Kluyveromyces lactis: one gene and its partner. The protein of the gene in region 2 interacts with the protein of the main gene of each other region in a pairwise test. Links are inferred from orthologs where the notes say so. Each region holds a gene or a part of one and is shown on either strand. Other genes may lie near its edges.

Region 1 (2,986 bases), on a different chromosome or scaffold from region 2:
GGATTAAATGTGTGGAGAGGGCAGTGAATTTGAATCAGAGCAGAGTTAAGCTTGATTAACTGATCAATTAAGACTTCGAGACTTTTTTCCTAAAACTGCATGTTACTTGACTTACCTCAGACAACCATTCAGCAAGGAATGGGATTCGAGTTGAGAGAATATTCCGAAAATAGCGAGATCAAGACGGATATGGACTTACAATAGTGTGCTCGGTATTAAACCTTGCACCAGAAAACTGTGGGTATCTTGTGAAATGACTACAGTGTCTTATGTGAAATTCCAATACATCATCACTAGGAGCAGGTTAGTTGGCTGAAAGTGGTAACAAAAGAAAAGAAGTTTGAATGTACAAAGAAGAAACGATCAACGCGAATAACTTTATTTCAGCCTGTGGGCCTAGAAACAGTATGAAACAGTGCACGAGTCGAAACTTGCTTTCAGTGGTATTAACAGAATAGGCAAAAAATGCGGAAGAACCATTTGATCCGTCATTGAGAAACTGTGAAGACGAAATCGGAGAACTCTTTAGTCCACCTTTCATTCGATAGCCCATGGTTACGGAACTGAATTGCAAGACTATGTACATTTTTGTACGACGTAACATATTCGCTGGGCAGTTTCTTTTCTGCGGCTCAGTCAACGGAATATTTTGCAATACTAAATGAAACTTCATAACATGTTAGCTAATAAGCCGCTCTAAGTATCACCAATTCCGTTTATGAATAAGAGTCGATGTGCTACTGTGAATTCACATCTACTCGACTACAAGTTGACCAGCACAATTAGGATCAACCTGCTTTTCCAGAAATGTTCTCTTCTAGACCCAGTAACCAAGAATTTGCTCACTTTCCCTTAACAGGTATCGAGGCGTTAATTCTAAATAAAGCAAATGAGGGCTGAATTACAAAGCACCATACCTCAAAGTTTTGAAAACCTGGCTCTTGCTATAGTTATTCACCTTTTAATTATCAAGCAATTATAAATCTCAAACACTTCTGGACATACAGATGCGGACAGAGCATAATAGCAAATGAGATATTTCGTAGGATATTCGATGTAGTACGGCTTAGTGACGTCGGTTGTTGTTCAGGAATGTACAATTTCAGGTGATTTAAAAACCCTATGCTAAAAGGTTCGATGATCTTTATTTGAACTGACCTGAATGTTGGCTGTGCTGCCGTTGCGTCTGCTCAAACCTCTTACAGGCATGTTTCCGCGAAAAGTGATTGCTTAAGTAAGAAAGAAAGAATGCAGTCACGTGACAAATGCTGAAAGTCTTGAAGTCATTAAATACGTTACCACTGCTTCTAGAAATCATTATCGTTCAGAAAACAAAAAGTTTTCATTTCTATAATAAGGATTCCTACATTCTACACGAAACTGTTGCAATTACGAGGCCAATTGAGTGCTATTTTGTGTCAGTTTAATCCGTTATTGTATTGCAGTTTTAAAATAACTCAGCTATCACACATCAAACAGCAGAAACAATGTCCGAAACAATTGAAGGTAACGTTCAAATTCTAAGATTATCACCAGGTGACAGTACCAACTTCCCAAAACCAGGCGATTTGGTAACAATCCATTACACTGGTACTTTGGAAAACGGTCAAAAGTTTGATTCTTCCGTTGATAGAGGTTCTCCATTCCAATGTAACATTGGTGTAGGTCAAGTTATCAAGGGTTGGGATGCTGCTATTCCAAAGTTGTCCGTTGGTGAAAAGGCAAGACTAACTATCCCAGGCCCATACGCTTATGGTCCACGTGGTTTCCCAGGTTTGATCCCACCAAATGCTACTTTAGTCTTTGATGTTGAATTGTTGAAGATTAACTAGATGTATAATGTCATTCTTCTGAATAAAACACATACTATTAATTTCCTTCACATTTTTTCTTTGGTTTCTCCCTTGATTCCTTCCAATTGGTCCCATCCATTATTATTATTATAGCTTTACATCTTTCCGTACCTTCTCATCAACCTTTCAACATGGGAATTGCTATCAAATTGTAGCCGTAGTGTTTGTATGCTTCCATTTTAACATTCAATTTTTGTACATCAACGAAATGCCTATAATATAAACCATTAGCTATATTATGTTGTTATTGCATTATTGAAAAAACAATCAAGAACAACTACTTCCTGCTTCTAAGCCTGCTCGAGAGCCTTGTAGTTGGTTTTGTTATGGATTTTCTTCTTGTTCTCCTAGCTGGAGAATCCACGTCGGCAAGATCTTCAGGAACTTCCTCCGCAGCGGCAACTTTTTGTTTCTTAGGGCGCGGCTGTTGAGATGATTCCGTTTCGTTCTCTTCTGCTTTCCCTGTCGGCGAATTAGCTGATTCCTTGGCAGCACCTTCAGATTCATCAGCAAATGTGACTTGTTTTGTAGCTGTAGTATCTGCGGCATCAGCAGTCGATTCTTTTTCGCTACCAGATCTCCCTTCTGTATCGTGTTCGACATCTTCCTTTTCATCGGTGTTTCCGCCATGGGGTTGGTCTTCTTTGTTTTCACTTTCGTCATCAATGCCTCGCTTTTGTGAACGTGTCAACCTTGTAGAGCGTCTTGTCCTTGGTTTCTTATGAGCATCGACAGGTTCATCGACAGGTTCATTCGCCAGTTCGCTCACAGATTCTCCAACACTGACTGGCGGAGTGGTCGCCATTTCTTGTTTCGCCTGTACATTATTTTGCTCAGTATCCTTTTCATCGATATCCTTTTCTCGTTCCCGTGGCTCTTCTGACTCTTGTTCTACTTGCGTATCCTGTGATTCCGCACCCTTCAGTTTTGCCTTGTCATCCGCAGAAGCGGTCTCCTCTTGCTTAATATCTTCCACCTCATGATCCCTAGCATGTTCTAACATAAGTTCTCCATAATCTTCCCACGATAGTTCAAATTCCGTCTCTTGCTGGAGTCTATTTTGTAATGGTATTATATTTCTCTTAAGCTCGTCACAATTGTCAACATCATTGTCACTGTCATCATCATTATCT
Region 2 (4,443 bases):
TGGACTGGTGGTGTTGGGTATATCACCGTTGATACTATGAAAGAACGTCTTCCAGCTCCAGCTGAAGGCGTCCAACTTTTGGTGTGCGGTCCGCCTCCTATGGTTTCATCTATTAAGAGAAATGCTGTCACTTTAGGTTACGAGAAAGCTAAACCTATTTCTAAGATGGGAGACCAAATCTTTGTATTTTAAGACAATCAGAATACATATCGCTGGTTCAGTATTATGATGTAAGTAAAATCTTTATCCAACCTGTAAATTCATTATAAAAGACGGGAGAATGTCGGTAATTTTTTTTTTCTATATTGTATCATTACTTAAAAGACTCTAGCTCCGGCACCTATATCATCCAAACGTACTGTTAAGAGCCTATTAAACTATGTTAAAGAACATCTTTGTGCAAAAATGCCTATCACAAGAACATCATAAACTACTTCTTTCTATGGAAAATAGTTTCCTTTCTTTATTTTTTTCGGTCTATTGATTGATCTAATCAACATCTATAAAGACATTTGCTTGATTTGTTCCAACCTTTCATTCACTGCTGATTCAAAATTTTCATTCTGCGGAGAATCTAATAATTTTGCATGAATAGACTGAAGAGCTCTCACTGCATTGCTCTCATCAATGACACAAGAGATATTAATTTCATTAGCACCTTGAGAAATCATTTCAATATTAATATGTTGTTCAGCTAAGGTTGTAAACATAGTACCAGCAATACCAACAAATTGCTTCATCTGCTTACCGACCAGAGAGACAATTGCCATTTTCTTAATAACATCGACTGTACCTAGTCTCTTTAACTCTTCAACAGCACACCGTAAAGCCTTTAGGGAATCTGAATCAGGTACAGGAAGGGCCATAGAGACGTGGACCTCAGAAGTAGAAATCAAGTCCACAACTAGTTTATATTTATCCAACGTAGAGAACATTTCTGCCAAGAACCCATGAGATAACGTCTTCTTATTAGAATGTATATTAACCACAACAATATCAGATTTAGTAGTGATGGCCGTAGCGCCTTTCTTTTTGGATTCGAAGATAGAGGATGTTAACGCTACAGGTGGATGTGGAGGTGTGGATTCACCCTTCTTGGCTTGATCGCTTGGGTAAATAATAGTACCGTTACCCTTAGGGTTTTGGACGTTTTTAATTCTAATCGGTATGTGAGTTCTGATAACCTGTTCCATGGTGAATGGATGAATGACTTCTGAACCGTAGTAAGTTAACTCAGCAGCTTCGTCGGGTGTAACTGTGTCTAACAGTCTTGCTTGGGGTACTTTTCTTGGATCGGCGGTGAAGATACCATCAACTTCTTTCCATACTTGTAATTCGTCAGCATTTAGTGCGACGGCGATCAAGGCGGCGCATAGATCAGTATATCCTCTACCAACACCATTAAGTAGACCCATTGGAACGACTCCAAAGAACCCAGTAATGACAGGAATGATCTTGGTGCCATTCTCGGTTTCTTTTAAGATCGGCGATAGCTTCTCTCTAAAAGCGGTGACGAGGAAGGTGTAGAAACTATTATCCAGAGTACCTTCCTTACATTCGTAATCACTTGGAACAATAAAAGAGAGATCCACATATCTCGCATTGACACCATTATCCTGACAAAGAGCAGTCACATACAAACAGGATAGTTTCTCACCCAATGACATAACTAAATCCAAAGTTCTTGTAGACACCTCACCCAAGACTTGAGAGGCATCCAGATATCTCCTGACAATATTTATTTCTCTCTTGGTATCCTCAATTAAAGTCTCTTGGATGGTAATATCCTTGACAGACTCTTCTGCATTTGCGACATGATCTCTCTCGACTAAATCAAGAACGTTCTTATATTCATAGTTGTTGTTTGACGCTAGATCACATGCCAATAATAATCTGGAAGTAGTACCTTCAGCTTTAGTGTACGAAGACCTAGCAGAACACACGACAGCCACGTTATTGTCGTATTCCTGAGAGTACACTTTGATGATTTCATTTACAATCTGCTTGGAAAATTTACCAATACTGGTACCACCAAATTTCTGTACAACCCAGTTACTAGTTTCAATCATCACGTAATCGATACTTTAAGTTATTTTATAGAAAAGGCCTGTTACTACTTCCAAAGGGTATAGCAGTCTTGTAAACACACAGCTGAGGACAATGTGCTAATGGGTTTTTGTCGGAGCTTCCTTTATTTATATGAATTTCATTCAAACCAAATGACTCAATTACTTTTTGTCAAAATCTTTCTAGTTTTTCACAATATATTTTCTAGAACTGTGAGGTTCGATGGAAAATTGATGGGATAATTATGCCATTTTCACGTGATTTACGAAAATGGGAACTATATGGTAGACAGGTATATGCCCTTTAAGCGGGGTGATTCAAGAGCATGCAATGGAAATTGTTCGCTGATGCTGCATGATAAACAAAATTTATTAGATGGAGCAAGTGTGGGCTACACTAGCATTGAAAAAGAATAAACAAAATAATGAAATGGAGTTATGATAATGGTTATGAATAAATAGTAATGGAACAGTAAAGAACAACATAAAATTGTGAGTTAATTCTCCTGATTTTTATTTGTAATTTCAATATGTTATACCTATAACTTAAGCGGATGTACGTATTGTAATAGCTGTGTTATAGTTTGATTCGCGTTTTATCGCTTTTCAGCTTGGCTAACTTTAAGAAGTTTTGAATTGAAGTGACAAAGGTAGTGGAAAATATAATGCAATGATGGAATGAAGTAGGAACAGAATCGAAACGTCCAATAGCTCCTAACATTAGAAAGGTCACTGATAATGATTCGATGAAACAAAATGAGAGGAAATGAGAAAGCTATGGTATAGTAACGTTGTAGTTTGTGGGTACTCGAATATTATTAAATGGATTGGCACTGTTTGCCAGAATTGATCCATTATAAGATATGCGGCTTCCCATATAGAAGCTTAATCAAAAAAAGTTTAATAATTGAAGTGAATTTCGCGAATAACTGGCTGAATGTTTTATCTTTGCGGTTGGCTCCGCATTTTCAAGAGTTCGTAGACTTTGGTTTTAGTTGCGTCAATCCATCCAAGCGGGAACTCCATAATCATTATTATCAATGATATTATGATCATGACCCCAGTGAATAAATCCTAATGTAAGCACACAGAAGAAAATTATTGTACTGAACAACCATATCCTAGTGTCTCTTTCCAGCAAAAAGAATTTTCTTATTGCTTGATAAATGCTAGTGATCCAAAGTAAACTTGACGGCAGGAAGCTTGCACTCAAGAAATACGGAAGTGAAGAATCATCTTCGTTGTCGCTGTTGTGATTTGATTTGGAATTAGGTAAATATAATGTTCCCTTTAAAGCACCAGGGTCTAAGTCATATGCTAGGGATTCCATAGAATGACCAATGTCATCGAATTGCAGAGTTGAGTCTTTACCTGCGTATTTCAAAAGAACTTGAGCACCTCCTGGATGCTTGTGAAGGAAACTGGTTATATCGTACACTTTGCCATGAATCACGGTCCAACAGTCGGACCGCGAACTATGTCGTGCTACTTCATCCATAGTTATTAGCGGGTCTCTCATTTTAAATAAATGAAATGCTATGAATGCTGTACCAAAAAAAGAATAAAATTCTCAGAAAATCTAAGCAGAAACACAAAAATAATCACCAATCAATTGAACTTCCACGAATATATAGTGACGGACTGTTGATCGATTAGTCGAAAGCAACAAAACGGAAACAAAACAATTGTTATAATATTGAACCCAAAAAAAAAAAAAAAATTGAATGGGTCAATCTAGTTGATAGTACTGTTCCTCGTGGAAGCGATATAGCAGAGCTAGCAATAATAAACTTGAAAACAACAGTAAAAGCAATCAATGTCTCATCCAATGGGCCCCCTGGTAATAATATCAGTAATTACAGTGATTCCTTTATATTCTCTAGTTGGAGATACAGCTGGTGATATACGTAACAATTGGACGGTAACAAATGGAAAAGAAAAAGATCTGTGATGAGTGGAGGAATGCCTGTTGCCTGTATAATAGTACTCGAACAGATGTAAAATAAATAACAGACACAAACACAGTATGCACTCACGGCAAAATGTGCTCTGCATATAAGTTATCAATCCAGTCTTGGAACTCACCAGTCTTCCTCCTTCAACTACATTATAAAAGGTAGACATAAGTTGCGAAATTAAATACTTTTCTTAAATAAAAAAGAATCTTATGTATGTTGAGAGGAAAAAAAGGATCGATGCAAATCGATAAAAAAAACATATGTCTGTTCCATGGACTATAAAGAAGGTGTAATCGCACAATAAAATCAAAGAATGCGTTTTTTCTTTTCGTTTCTTTTGTGTGTTGCAACAAAACTAAAAAGCGTTTTTTTGCAATTAGATGAGTAGATTGCCGAATTTAACATGCGAAATTTTGTTA

Evidence for each region.
Region 1: the proteins of HOM3 (region 2) and FPR1 interact in binary tests that used the Saccharomyces cerevisiae proteins (3 or more experiments, as listed by UniProt). The link is inferred for Kluyveromyces lactis from reciprocal best matches to the Saccharomyces cerevisiae genes HOM3 and FPR1.

The regions. Positions count from the first base shown.
Region 1 is NC_006037.1:1,009,313-1,012,298, reverse strand, and holds FPR1 (peptidylprolyl isomerase FPR1), read left to right. Parts: upstream 1-1,487; coding exon 1,488-1,832; downstream 1,833-2,986. Other genes in the region: EAF7 (Eaf7p), read right to left, coding at 2,131-2,986. UniProt on the Saccharomyces cerevisiae protein: PPIases accelerate the folding of proteins. It catalyzes the cis-trans isomerization of proline imidic peptide bonds in oligopeptides.
Region 2 is NC_006042.1:2,555,804-2,560,246, reverse strand, and holds HOM3 (aspartate kinase), read right to left. Parts: upstream 2,070-4,443; coding exon 501-2,069; downstream 1-500. Other genes in the region: CBR1 (cytochrome-b5 reductase), read left to right, coding at 1-192; KLLA0_F27577g (cytochrome b5-like heme/steroid binding domain-containing protein), read right to left, coding at 3,067-3,585. UniProt on the Saccharomyces cerevisiae protein: Phosphorylates aspartate, the first step in the biosynthesis of amino acids that derive from aspartate (the aspartate family of amino acids), including methioinine and threonine, the latter of which is a precursor to isoleucine.